Nothobranchius furzeri: one gene and its partners. The protein of the gene in region 2 purifies or fractionates together with the protein of the main gene of each other region. This does not show direct contact. Links are inferred from orthologs where the notes say so. Each region holds a gene or a part of one and is shown on either strand. Other genes may lie near its edges. The genes, in order: cnot6a, cnot1 and capzb.

What was found.
Region 1: the proteins of cnot1 (region 2) and cnot6a purify together in Homo sapiens (affinity purification with mass spectrometry; 5 studies listed by BioGRID and IntAct, with this or other methods). This does not show direct contact. The link is inferred for Nothobranchius furzeri from reciprocal best matches to the Homo sapiens genes CNOT1 and CNOT6.
Region 3: the proteins of cnot1 (region 2) and capzb purify together in Homo sapiens (affinity purification with mass spectrometry; 5 studies listed by BioGRID and IntAct, with this or other methods). This does not show direct contact. The link is inferred for Nothobranchius furzeri from reciprocal best matches to the Homo sapiens genes CNOT1 and CAPZB.

The regions. Positions count from the first base shown.
Region 1 is NC_091741.1:95,567,861-95,573,016, forward strand, and holds part of cnot6a (CCR4-NOT transcription complex subunit 6a), read right to left. Parts: intron 4,054-5,156; coding exon 3,867-4,053; intron 3,383-3,866; coding exon 3,297-3,382; intron 3,222-3,296; coding exon 3,117-3,221; intron 2,983-3,116; coding exon 2,914-2,982; intron 1-2,913. UniProt on the Homo sapiens protein: Poly(A) nuclease with 3'-5' RNase activity.
Region 2 is NC_091744.1:81,580,180-81,585,335, reverse strand, and holds part of cnot1 (CCR4-NOT transcription complex subunit 1), read right to left. Parts: intron 5,056-5,156; coding exon 4,945-5,055; intron 4,398-4,944; coding exon 4,227-4,397; intron 4,098-4,226; coding exon 3,970-4,097; intron 2,270-3,969; coding exon 2,029-2,269; intron 1,933-2,028; coding exon 1,813-1,932; intron 1,592-1,812; coding exon 1,469-1,591; intron 1,362-1,468; coding exon 1,210-1,361; intron 483-1,209; coding exon 332-482; intron 235-331; coding exon 24-234; intron 1-23.
Region 3 is NC_091743.1:46,417,353-46,420,952, reverse strand, and holds the start of capzb (F-actin-capping protein subunit beta), read right to left. Parts: upstream 2,601-3,600; 5' UTR 2,369-2,600; coding exon 2,366-2,368; intron 1-2,365. UniProt on the Homo sapiens protein: F-actin-capping proteins bind in a Ca(2+)-independent manner to the fast growing ends of actin filaments (barbed end) thereby blocking the exchange of subunits at these ends.

The DNA of each region.
Region 1 (5,156 bases), on a different chromosome or scaffold from region 2:
TAGCCTGCCGTTAAAAGTTCTGAGCAACTCATTAAAGGAAGAAAAACTCAATTACTCACTTCACACATACATTTCACTGTAACATCAAGTTATTGGTAATTGAAAAAGTAGCTTGAGATATTTTTGAGCTGACTATTTGCTCCTTATTCATCGTTAGCATTGTTAGCTCAATAATAAACTCTAGCCTGCTTTACTCAACATTAAGCCCCCTTCAGACAGGCCATGAAAAACGGAAATGTTCCGGAATCTGTCCGTAAGACCTTTCTGTCTGAATACAAACATCCGGATAATGTGTTCCGGAATTTATCCGGACGAAGCCCCTAGTAACAGGTCCGGACTTGTTACGGACAGGGTGGCTGATTCAGACTGGTGAGGTAAAGTTCCGGACAAGAGGGAGGGGGAGGAGGAGGGGACCGGGGGACGCTGTGCGCACCTAGATAGCCCGCTGCTGTAGCATGCGGCGATCAACGGCAGCTCGCCTCCTACGGTACCGTCTAGACGCGCGAGGGAGCGCTTCACACCGCTTCAGTGATTCCTTTAACCATTGAGCTTCATCATCCAGGTCTCTTATGCGTCTTCGTGTGCGCAGAATTATGCTTAAGCGCCTCGTGATTTTTATCTTGAGAGGCGCTGTAGAAATGATATTTTCTTCTTCTTCTTCTTCTTCTTCTTAACATGAGTCCGATCACCCCCCCACCACCACCACCCCCCGCCGCCGTCAGACATCTGGAACTTTTCCCTGCTGTGTGAACGCAGCCGAAAGGACAAGTTCCGGTACAAAAGTGGTGTGTCTGAAAACACAGTTCCGGTTAAAAACCGGATTGAATTGTCCGCAAATGTTCCAGAATGTCTGTCTGAAAAGGGCTTTAGAGTACAACTAAAGGATGCAGTAGCTTCTTAGGGGTCGCACTTGTTTACTGGCTTTATTCAGTTCTTTTAACAACTCTGGAGCACTGTGTTGAATTACAAATGCCTGGGATGCTGGGTTAGCTCACTGCAGACTTGGCAACCTCACAAACTCACCGAATAAAGTCTGCTGCACACGAGAGCAAACGGCCTCAAATGGTCATTTGCTCAGCAGATACCTCCCTGTGTGCGCCTGATTTTCAAAGAGTTTTCAGCCTCACGAGACGCTGAGGTGAATATCTGACCGGTTTGATATTTTCCGCCTCACAGGGGGTAAAAACTCGCTGTGTGCGCACTACGTGTGCTGCTGGCTGAGCTGAAATATTCTAGTGGCCAATCAAAGCGCATTCTCTGCTCACATGATTCCAAGATGTATTCAGATGTGGCCCCTGCCCTGTCTGAGTGTCAGAAAAATAAACGAAACAGTGCCTTGCAGATCGATGGGCCCACTGTTTCCACTACCCCCTCAAAGGATTCAGGATCCAGGCTGTGGTACTGTCGGAAGCATTCTGGGTCTTCAAGACACATCTCTTGGAGTAGATTGGTATAAACTCCTTGCCTGGCCCTGCTTTACAGCCACCGTACACATACTATCCTAACCTTGAAATGACGGTGGTGGCGATGCCTCATAAACAAAAAAAGTAGAGGTATTTCCTCCGTTTCCAGCTACGTCTTCGTTTTGTTTATTTTCTGACATGCAGACAAGGGGCTGCCATCTTGGGGTCATGTGAGTGGAGAACGTGCTTTGATTGGCCACTAGAATATTTCAGCTCAGCCAGCAGCTCACTTAGTGCGCACACGGTGAGTTTTTACCCCCCCGAGGGGGTCAGATATTCACCTCAGCGTCTCGTGAGGTGGAAAATGCGCACACAGCGAGGTATCTGCTGAGCGAACGGTCATTCGAGGCCCCTTGCTCAGCAGTTGGCTCTCGTGTGCGGCAGGTTCTAAGTGACGTCCCCATTTTGTTTTGTCTTTTTAAAGGAGAAAATCTGACAACACCCCAGCCAGCGGAGAATTAAATCTGTTTCATTGTAACCTTCCTTTCAGTGTGATTGAGACATTAAACTGTTTTGGGCTGCCTAGTGGTGCAGTTGTTAGCACTGTTGCCTTGCAGCAAGAAGGTTGCAGGTTCGAAACTCGGCTACAGCCTTTCTGCGTGGAGTTGCGTGTTCTCCCCATGCATGCGTGGGTTTCCTCCGGGTACTCCGGTTTCCCCCACAGATCACAACATGCCCTATAGGTTATAAGTTGTACATTGCTTTGGATGAAAGCGTCTGCTAAATAAATAAACAAACATTATTTCACTGTGGAACTCTTACATAATGCTGCTTTAATGACGGATCAGTGAAAAAGAAGCAGCTTTTACTAAATATTTAGAAAAAAGCTTCTGAATATCACGGGTGCAATCATGATGGTACGGGTGTATGTATACTATTCACAAACACCTGTACCATCATACACATAAAACTATTAATTGTAATTATCATTGTGCAAACATTTACACAGATATAAAGTAACAGAAGAGGATGAGGAAGATTTAGGTTAGTTAAGTCTGATGAGGAAGTGGCAGTGAGCAAGTTTGTGCTTCTTTTGATCCCTTTTCAGGTTTGTGATTGACCATGTCATTCTTTGATTCTTATACTTGTTTTGTTTTTCTGTTTTTATTTAGTATTTAAAATACTTACAAATGGAACTGCATACTCAGAATAAAACAGATTACTACAACTATCACTACTTCTGGGTATTATTTACTGCCGCGATAAAATCTTCTAATCAAATATCTGCATTAGCTTTACTGACCGTGAATAATGTTTGCTAGCGTTCTTGTATTTAGGCGTTTAACCGTATAGCCTGCAAATCGCTTCCAGCTGCTTCAGAACAGTGCTGAGAAAACATCCTCTCCTGCATCTATAGCCAAAACTTAAATAACTATTAAATATATTTAAAACATAACCTACTTCTGTGAGAGGAAAGGAGGTGTGTGTGTGTGTGGGTGGGTGTTCTTACTTGACGGACGTGTTCGGTCGGGTTCCTGAAGAGAGATCCACGATCGGGCAGGGGGCTGCTCGGTTGGTACTGTGTGGAGGAAAAGACGGTTCAGTAAAAGCCCTTAAACGCTTCTCCTATCCAGTATCCTCTTCTCTTCCCAGGCGTAGGAAAGCTGAAATTCCTGTTCAGCCTTACAACGACGGCAGAGGGCTGATACTCACTGCGCTTGATAGCTCCTGCCAGATTGTCTAACAAGTAGCTGAGCAGTCTCCGTGTGCCATCGGGTTCCTGGTAGAGGCTCATAATATCTTGTGCAAGTGGGTTTCCTAAGAAACACAGAAATCAGCTGTAAAAACAGCAGAGAAATAAATAAATGGGCTTTGAGGACTGAAGCCACTCACCTTTTAACCCCAGTGTCTGTAACTGAAACAGTTTTCCCAGTTCAAAGGGGAGAACTCGCAACTGGTTGTTATTTAAAAGCAATTCCCTGCCGAGGACAAACAGGAGTCAGGTTATTTACAAACACTTCAGAAAACAGCAACACTTTCACTGCAGTTTTTACATCCAGGTTTACAATTAAAAACTTCTCAGTGGCCTGATGGTAGAGGTCTGCCCCGGGACTGGGAGATCGGGGGTCAAACCAAAAACTTGTGCCTCCCTGCTTTAAGGGGTTGGGTTGGGGGTTAAACCACCAAAGAGTTCCCGAGCGCAGCCACTGCTGCAGCTTACTGCTCTCCACGGGGATGAGTCAAATGCAGAGATGCACTTCACCCGTGTGTGAGGATGACTTAGGGACTTTAACTTTAAAAACAAACACGACTCATTAAGTCTTTCAAATGAAAACAAAGACACTGAAAGGGGAAAATCTGCAACAGAATAATAAAAAACACCTCATGAGAGTTCCCGGTAACCTGTGACTGCTCCTTTTCCAGCTCAGCACTAATTACATTGTGTAACCTGAAATCACTGACCTGAGAGACACCATGTTGCCGAGCTCCGCCGGCAGGCTCCTGATCTTATTGGATGAGAGATCCAGGTACACCAGGTTGTGTAGTTTGGCTATGTCTGGCGGGATTCGTGACAGAGAGTTGTCACTGAGGTGAAGGGCAGTGAGGTGGGTGAGAGACCACAGGGCTGTGCTAAGACTCCTCACTCGACCTGCAGCAACAGGGAGGACAAATTAAACAGTGTGTGTGTGTGTGTGTGTGTGTGTGTGTGTGTGTGTGTGTGTGTGTGTGTGTGTGTGTGTGTGTGTGTGTGTGTGTGTGTGTGCGTGTGCGTGTGTGCGTGTGTGTGTGTGTGTGATGGGCATAACTGTGACTACAGTTACTTTATAGAAGATAATCTAGTTCTGGACAAATAAAATGAAAATTTCTACATCTCTACTTGAAAGACTCAGTCTACACATTTATTATTTTGGGGTAAATAAAAAGCTTCGCCTCCCTAATGAAGCCTTCCTCAGCTTCCCAACTAGATACCATATTGACGTTGTCAGGGGAGCAGCCTGCTGCTGAATTTAGCTCTCAGGTGTAATTGAATTAATGAGGAGCAAACGAGAAATTCAGCACCAAACACGGGCCGTGCTGTCGGTAACAGCGGCCGGAGGTTTGAGACGGCTGCAGGAAAGAGGAAGCTGGACCTTCTTTACGTAACTGACTAAACACAGGTGGGTGTGTGCCTAACACCCAGATTAGATCTCCAGTGTTCTGAGCCGGCGTTATAATCCAGCTGCTGGCTATCACATCACTTTGCTAGATTTTGGCCACTTTAAAAACTAACTCAAATAAATTATATTTAAAATTTTATTTTTAATCCTAATGACCTAAAATTATTTATTTAAACAGAAGATGAGTATAAGCAGAGGAATGTACTAAAATATGTTAAATCATCTCATGTATCAACACACTCAAATCTGCTAATATATTATTTTTACACGGGCAACATATTTCACAACAATTAATAAAACTATTAAGCTGTGTGCCTAAAAAACCAAGATAACGTACCTCAGAGGAATATTATGTTTCAGAAATGTCTTAAAATTATTAGCCTCCTTCTGCCATAACAGTCTATGAGCATCGGGTCGGATGAACAGAGTTCCGACACAACTCCCGTTTTTTATTCCATTTGCTTCCATATTCTATAAGGGTGTTCCGATTCACAATTTAATCGATGCATCGCGTTGTGACATGTGCCGACTCATAATCGATTTGTAAAAGTTCAGAGACGATTATAAAAAAAATGCTGAAAAACAGCCACAAAGC
Region 2 (5,156 bases):
AAGGAAGGAATAAATCATAGTACCAGAGTCCATTCCTGTGAGCTGCAAGCTGGAACTGATTCCGCCAAACTGCGTGCTGGGATTAGGGTTAGGGAGCGGTGGGAAGGCTTTAGCAGGGGACAGAGGGTTATTGAGAGTTGAACTTATGGAAGGCTGGAAGCTCTGCATGCTCTGAGAGTGGGACGTAGCTGTTCCTGCCAGGCTCAAGGAACCAATCGCAGTCAGGTGGTCCATCTGAGGAACAGCATGAAGAAAATGGTTAAACAAGAGCAAGAGAGATGTTCCAGATTCAAAATACAGATTAGCTATGTCAAGGAATCATTTGGTTCACCTGCACAGGTGAGATGGCATCCAAGCTGCTGGTGCTGGGGGCGCGTCCTTTGGGCATAACCCCCGGTGGCGGCTGCCGAGCTTTGTTCATGGCGTTGTTACAGTTGGCAGCCATGGTAAGGATCGCCTCGGACAACTCCTGGGAAACACTCCTACACACAGAGAACAATATTTTTATAAAGGTAGACATAAACGGTTATTGTGCAAGAGTTCCCATTAGAAAACATTTCAAATAGTGGATTTAAAAAAAAGGGTTTTCAAATAAGAGAATTACGTAATCAATCACCGTATTAAAATCCTCACAGACAGAGCTATGATGTATGACCAGTAGTTGTCTGTGGTGAATAGAAGCAGCTGGAAGCACGTTTCTTCACATCAACAGGATCAGAACTCCTTCATTAGAGTTTAATCCCCTAATAAACTAATCTGTCTGAACGTTTCCACCTTCACCTCTAATCTTTGAAAACCAGCAGGCAGGCCTTGTTGAGACCAAACATCAGCACAGATGTAGTAAAGGCTGATAAGATATAGTCAAGTTAAAAAGGTTATAGTTAGGATATAGCATTGGCTCTGTGGCCATTTGACTGAGTAAAGAGGTTATTGTGTTTACTAAAAGGCTTGATGTCAAAGCTCCTTATTTCAACAGAAATGTTTAAACAGCAATTGTTCCTTTAGGGATAAGATCCATCAAATTCCTCTCAAATGTTAATAAACTCCACCTTAACCTCTTCATTAGAGTATTTTTTTCTAATGCTACGGTGGGATTTGATACTAAAGTTAAGACCATGTGATGAGTTTCACAAAACGTTGATCAAACTCAGACGTGAAATCATCCTGGCAGTGAAAGGTCTACGAGCGTCAGACATGTCAGGTTCTCACCCAGCACAGGACTTCAGGCAGGTGAGCATGGTGGTTAAAGTCTCAGGGGGCAGCTGGGCACTTTTGGGCTGATCCTTATCAGGGGCCAGACCCCCCATAATGGATGGGCAGCGCCTCTTCAGGAATGTCACACACGCCTGGATAAAGGGTTCCTGTGAAAGTGGCATCAGAAACAAGTAAATGTGAAACATTCTCATGGTGATAGAATTAAAACCAAACATCTGGTGATAACTGGTCCTAGTTTAACGCCGAGACTCACCCCATGCTCTCTGATTTTATCGGTCAGCCATTTATCAAGTTTGAGGTATTCACGGCGAGAGGCAAGTGCAGCGAGGTCAATAACGAAGGCAAATGGAGTACCATTCAGCAGCATAGAGAGGGACTGGTAAAGAACATAATTACAAATATTCATTAATTTGTTACCATTAAAATCAGGTAGCATAAACAGATTTAGCTAATTTTGTTAATTTTAAAACCTGACATGTTACAGGTCGCTTTACAACATTTACTTTAACCAATCCAACATGGAGATTTGAGGAAAAAAAATCTCACTCATTCACTCACTCACTAACTCACTCACTCACTCATAAAATTCCAACAAACCTTCAAATCCTGGGCCACATCCAGGATGCGAGACAGCTTGGCCTGGTCATACTGCTCTCCTCTCATGTACCACTCGGCCATAGAATGCATGATTAGCTGACGAATGGAAGGAGACTGCCCCTGTAGAGCACAATGTTACAGGTCTCAGTAAGGCAGAGGCTCTGGGTATGTGCGTTACACTCAAAGGCACAAAAAGAAGAAGAAGAAAACACCAACCTGTCCGTGCCAAGCATAGTGCAAAATAATAGCAGAGTTGGGGTGGTTGCCCAGAAAGATGGGCATCAGAGTGGAGATGAGCTCATGGCGCAGCGTGTGCCAGGAGGTGGAGATCTGCAGCAGGGCCAGCACCAACATGTCTGGACAGTGCTTGATAGGGAAGCTGAAGAGCTGCTTCACCTGTTCATACTGCCCAACCTCAGAGAGGCGCAGAAGACTCTCCACCAGGTCCAGACTTTTCCTGGAGGAGTTAAAGAAATGAATCGGAGCGTTTTTTTAAGTGGTAGCTTGTTTTCATTTACGTTATTTACCGCACGATCCAGGCAGAGGGCACACTAATTCAGATTTTTTATTGATCGCTCAGTAAGGACATCAATAGAGGTGCGAATCTTCACCTGTCTCCCAATTCAATTACGATTATTGGGTCAACGATTCGATTCGATTCGAGATCCAGGAGCATCACGATTATTTCATATTGATTTGTTTTCAGCGATAAATAGAAGATGTCAGAAAATTGCTTTTTATTTTTTTTTATCAAAAACGTAATTGACAACCTGCCATCCCTCAAAAGCTCTCCATTCACAACAGGTTAGGACAAAACATTTTAAACACTTAAGATTTAACAAAGTAAACCGATCTGTTTCCTCGTTGAAGACCACGCCTCAGGCTGAGAAAAACACACAAAATCTAAAAAAGTACTGAAAACCTACAGGACACACAATGTAATAATAAAATACATACTGGGTTCATAAAGGAGTGTTTAATGTCTCTGAGCAGCTCTAGAGTCAGATGTTTATGCCACAGTTGAAGGGTGTCAGAAATAACACCAAATGAAATGTTTGACTTGTTTGTTATTTTATTTGAACCCAGTGGTTCGCTTCTGAAATGTTGGAGCATGAATCAAGTTCTGTTTGATGCAGAAAATAATAAAACATAAAACTAATTCTACACTTCCAATCATATTTAAGATGTGTGTTTTATTCTTTCTGATAATAACACCAGCAGAAGGCTGTGGGCTGGATTAGGATTAAATTACCCAGCTGATGGATCGCCTTCACTAACCAGCTAACTACAAACCTTTCCACTAACCTGTCCTGTGTGACCCTCACCATGTAACCCTCATGTCCATGCTGTCTCTGGAGGAGCAGATAGGAGACAAGACCTCCTGTAACCTAAAATGAACCAAAGCTTCCTCCCAGTTTCTCTTTCAGCTGAATTTAACATCAGTTTATCATCGTGGAACAAAAGAATAAAGTGGAACAAGAACTTCTATTTCTCTCTCCTTTTAACTTCTCCGTGTCCCTAAATAAAAGACAGGCAATCACGCTGCAGCCGCCGTCATTGACCCCGCCCCCTCCCCAAGACCGGATCTCTCAGCATCACAACACTCTGTTTGACTGAGCGCTTCCAGGAGAAATAATTAAATTATGAAAATAATAATGCGTGTTTGGAGCATCGGTTTGGAGGAGCGTCCTCCGATCCTCTCGTGTGTGAGCAGACAATGTCTCTCTCTCTCTCTCTCTCAGTTGCTGTGCGAGCGAGCGGAGCGAGCAGCGTGACAACCCACTTAATTAACATAATTCACGGCCCAAATCCAACAGAACCGGTCGGGCTGATTCGGTTCCGGTTCGGTCTCCGGTTACAACTCAAGCGCTCAGCCCTGCAGTACCACATTAAGGCGGAACCACTTGGTAAATGTGGAGGACGCTCACTCTGACAGATCTGGATGGTGTGCTGGTGCCGCCGTTAAAAAAACAAAACTACATTCCACTATAATCGATTATGGCGTACTCTTCTACGACGCAGAATCGTTTATGTCCGCATCCCGATGCATCGATTATTTGATTATTTTCCTCAGCTCTAGACATAAAAAACATTTGCTTTCAGCTCAATTAATCAAACCTCACGGAAGCAGCCCCAGACAAGCAACAGCCTCCATACCATGTGGCGATCTCTCTGTTGTCATCTTCTGGAGGTGCTTTGAGGATGTCGATGGCCACGGTGTGACAAGGATAGTCAGCGAAGCAGAACCCATCTGGGTTAATCAGGGAGTGCTGAATGAACGACAGCTGGAAAAAGAAAGTTCACCGTTTACAAAAATAATACAAAAACTCCTAAAGTACTTTTACAAGAGTTTACAACGTCTTCAAACAGTTCCAACTACTTAAAATGACACAATATGAATCTGACAGACTTACCTGTCCCTCCGCATGTTTCCATGGTCGATAGATGAGATCGACAGGGAACACCTCCATGCCTAGCCCTCTCTGGATCCCATACACCACTATGTGCAGGCCTTTACTGTCCCGGATGATGAAGCCTGGGTGGTCCAGTTCATACGTCACCTCTTTGAAGTTCAAGTTGGGATTCTAAGATATCAGAAAAGATATGAGTCTCAGAAGGCTGATCTCTTTTTGAACAGGAACAAGATGTTTCAGATAATCAGAAATAAGGTCAAAGAAAAACCAAGCAGCAAAATTTCATTTACAAAAACAGAAATATCATTTTCTGGGATTCTGAAATGATTTGAAAGTTAGAAAATATATTTAACAGCTTTAGTAGAGAAAGTGCTTTATTGTGTTTTAATGCTGAGGAAACCTCAGGATGTGGCTACTTCATGCTAAACTTTACAATCAGTTTTAATACGAAGCAGCAAATCCTTCAAAAGTAAAACCAACCTGCTCCATTTAAAGTGAAGGTAAGCATGATGGATCTCATGTTCTAGACTAAAAAAAAAAGACTACTCGTCATTAATTACACAAAAACGACGGTTTGTTTCATCTGCCAGGAGCAGGAATGGTGCACCTTGTTACCAGACTCTTGGCCAACTCTGGTGACTGTGCAGAAGCCAATCCCAAACAGAGAGAAACATGAACCGAACATCAAGGCTAACTGAGAGAACGTCACATCACTTACCACTTCTTTGACAACATCAATGAGAACCTCAACGTTCCACGTATGTGCCTGAGAACCGTCGTTCTTATCCTTGCCATCACTCCAGATACCACTTCCTGGGGCGGAGATCGACTGTGGCATAAAACACAACTCAGTATTTATACCCTAAACATATGAAGCCCATTAACATGAGTGGATGACTGAAAGAATCCTGTCTTGCAAAGAGTGCTCAT
Region 3 (3,600 bases), on a different chromosome or scaffold from region 2:
TCACAGGAAAAAATACCACGATATATTGCCATATCGATATTTTCTTACACCCCTAATTCCCTGAGAAGGCTGTGTGAACAAAACCTGGCTGCGCAGAGATGGGCCAGCCCAACCTAGACTGCCATATGAGACAGGACCTTAGTGGGCAGACCAGTTGCAACAGGAAACTGTTTTAAGGAGTGACATTTTTAAGGTGAGATAACAGGCTGCAGAAGTGTCTACACATGTTTTCATCCAACCTTTACCAGACAGACAGAAACAAAGTCTTCAGAGATCACATGTAAATCTTATTGCTCCAGCACTTACATAGTTAAGGTGCTAAAATATACACTAAAACACAACAGATTACACCTATGTGTGCCCTTAGTTTGCAAAAAAGTCAAAGAATTGTTGAGCTATGTATATGCTTCTTTTACGCTCTCGTTTTTGTCATGCTTTTATTTTGAAGGTGTTAAGAGTGCTTACGTGACTTCCTGACTCCAAACAGGTTGGTCAGATGAAATTTAAGGTAATGTGTCTCACCTGTGTGTGTGTGCAGAGAGATGAGTAAAGCGTTCTGAGACTTCTCTTCCTCTGTCTTTGTGAACTAAGTTGAACCGCTGATAAATGTAAGCTCTGCTAACAAGAATGACAAACGACACAAAACCCAATCCAATGCTCCTATAAACCAACAATAAAGTATGTTGAAACAGAAGAAAAACAAACAAACAAACCCCTATCTCAACAAAATGTGTTATACCAGATTAATTCACTTCCCTTACAGATGTAAACAAAACCATCTAACATGGGTAATCCACACCTGAAGTGTGCAAACATACTAAAGTACATAAGAATGCATCAACCATCTGGTACAAGAATAATGACATGCTACAAAGCAGAGAGCCCTCTGAGCATAAATATTTTCATTAAGGCTAAAACAGAACATAACAGATGTTTATAGGAAGTGTCTCGCATAAAATCTCCCGTCACAAAGGTCACTTTTTAAAATCAATTTCTAACTGATGAATCACTCTGCTTCATTAAACACCCGTGTTTCTTGACAATGCATTTACAAGTGCTGCTGTCTTCATGTAAACACCGATCAGACGAGCAACTTCTGGGGTCATAGGAGAACAGACTAAAGACGGGGGCAGCTGTTCTACTTGGTTTAGTTCCTGTTGACGTCAAACAGTCATGCTGCCTACTTGTGGAAAGAAAATGCTAAAAAACTGGATGTAAAATGAAGCTAGTAAAAGGGTTTGAGTAGAAAACAAATACGTTTGAATTTTAAGAGATAAGCATCATATCTATTAACAAATGCCACCCTCTGCATTGTATTGTGTGTTTGAACTTTTGTCAGGAAACAAACGCGAGTTGCTGAAACTTTGGGCAACAAATTAACTGAAGCAGAAAAGAGATTCATATTATCTCAGTGTTATGGAAAACCTGTTTGATATCACTTGAATGGAACAAGCACTCATGCGGTGTTAAGTGAATGAGTCTTGTCAAACTAGTAATTCAGATAAATAACAAGCATCTTTTTGGTTCTCTGGAGTCACCACGAGACTAAAAAAAGGCTTACAGAGAGTTTGGAAAACTTAGAACATTAAAATATGTTGCTAAACATAGAAAAATATTGCAGCAACTGTTTTATTACATTTTTAAATAATTTCATTAACAGTTAATATTCTAACCCTTGTAACTTTTGCTGTTATTTTCACACATATCTGGGGTTCATACAATTCAATAGATTAAACAGTTAGAAAAATTCTGTCATTTTGTTTAGTTCAATATGATGTTTTATGGATTAATTTGACATAACATACAAAGGTAACCATATTTTAAGGCTGACGAGAATAAAATTAGACTAAAAATAAGTCATGTGAACATGGAGACTGGGCTGGACTGGGTGTCAGACCTATCCAGGAAAATGTAGAGAAAGGCAGCCAACTTGTCATGATTAGAAATAGTAGGAGCAAGCGCTCTTATTTTAGCTGCGAGCCACTCCGTGCTTGGCTGTTTCAGCCAGAGTAAAAGGGTGGATGAACTGTGTGAGTGTGTGTGAGAGAGAGAGCTAAATTAGGATTGATCCCTGCTGTAGCAAACTTGTGTCAAATACAAAACATCCTGTGTTAACTTTACCTATGAGGCAAGTAGATTGACTACTGTTAGCAGGAAGCTAACTAGCAACTTAGCCATGAAGCTAAATAATACTTTTCGCCACGCAGAAGTTCTGCTAGCCACGCAAGTTGGATGCACTCAGTGATTTGTGCTCCGTGCTCCTCTCAAATTACCACCCAGCTCCTCCAACCAGCAGCTGAGTGAAAAAGCAACCGCAGCCAAAGCCTAAAACCCCATCTCCAACCAGCTTCTCCGAGGGCCTTACCATGTCTGCGGCGGTCTCAGCGGGGATCGATATCACCGATGACTGTACACCTTAGCTTTGTGGTGATTTGCCAACGTACTTCTCTGGTCTCTTGTCGTTTTTATTTATACTTAGTACCCCGCGGAAGATGTTTTGTTCGCCTCTCCCTTTCTGAACCCAGCCCTGTCAGCGAAATTTACTTCCTCAACCCGGGCTATAGGAAGGAGGCTGCGGTGAGAAAACAGGCCCCGCTTGTACATCCGGGTCACTGGGGGTTAGTTTGCATCAGCCAATAGCGACGGAGCAAGAAAGGCATTGCCAAGTATGGAAAGAGATGAGCTTAGCAGCAAATATGCAGCCAGGGAGGGCGGAAGATGGACAGCTACTGAAAAAAAAACTATAATTGCAAACTGAAACTACAAATAAATAATAATAACAACATAAAAACCTGTCATCCATATTACAATTAAAATTCTTCCTGTCAACATTTATATAATTAGAACTGAACATTATCATTTGAAACTGGCCGTGTTCAGAAATTTAGTTTTGCTCAGTGACCGTAGAAAGAGGTTTTGCTGTTTTATGCATTCTTTATCAAGGTTGTTTCATAGAATGCTTAGGCAATGTTATTCAAATATAGGTCTGCAAGTCATAAATTTCAGACTTCATGAATCATGAGAGGATTAATTAAAAATGATAAATCAAATGCAAATAAAAGATTTTGTTTAATCAAAATTTTAAAAAGATGCTCAGTTACTGAAAAACTAAACATACCTGTGTTTTGAAATCGGAACAAAATGTAGGACACTTCTGACACATCTTTATTTATTTATAGTAAATGGCCTGCATGTGTTCTCATATACCTTCTAGAGTTCTACAACCCTCCAAGGCACTTCACAACACAATCAGTCATTCACCTGTCCCACCCCCTCCCCCAATGTTTTCCAATGACATTTTTTTGTCCTCTTCACTTTTTACCATCCAAAAACAATATCACGCTGTATTAAATAGACATTGGTTGACCACTAGGACCAAGCAGAAAACAACCACTTGTGTTTACGCCTGTTTCTCATTAGAACCATCCATGAGCTCATCTATTGGCTCTGCTGATACTTACTAACGTGTGATTGGCCATTCTTGTTGTCGTTCCAGGTTGTAAACAGGATGTGCTTTCATCATCGGGATCTCCTGATAAATCCCTGCTTGATCAGGCGCTCCCCTCCCAGATTCGCCGGCGCCACAAACGATTCTCAGGT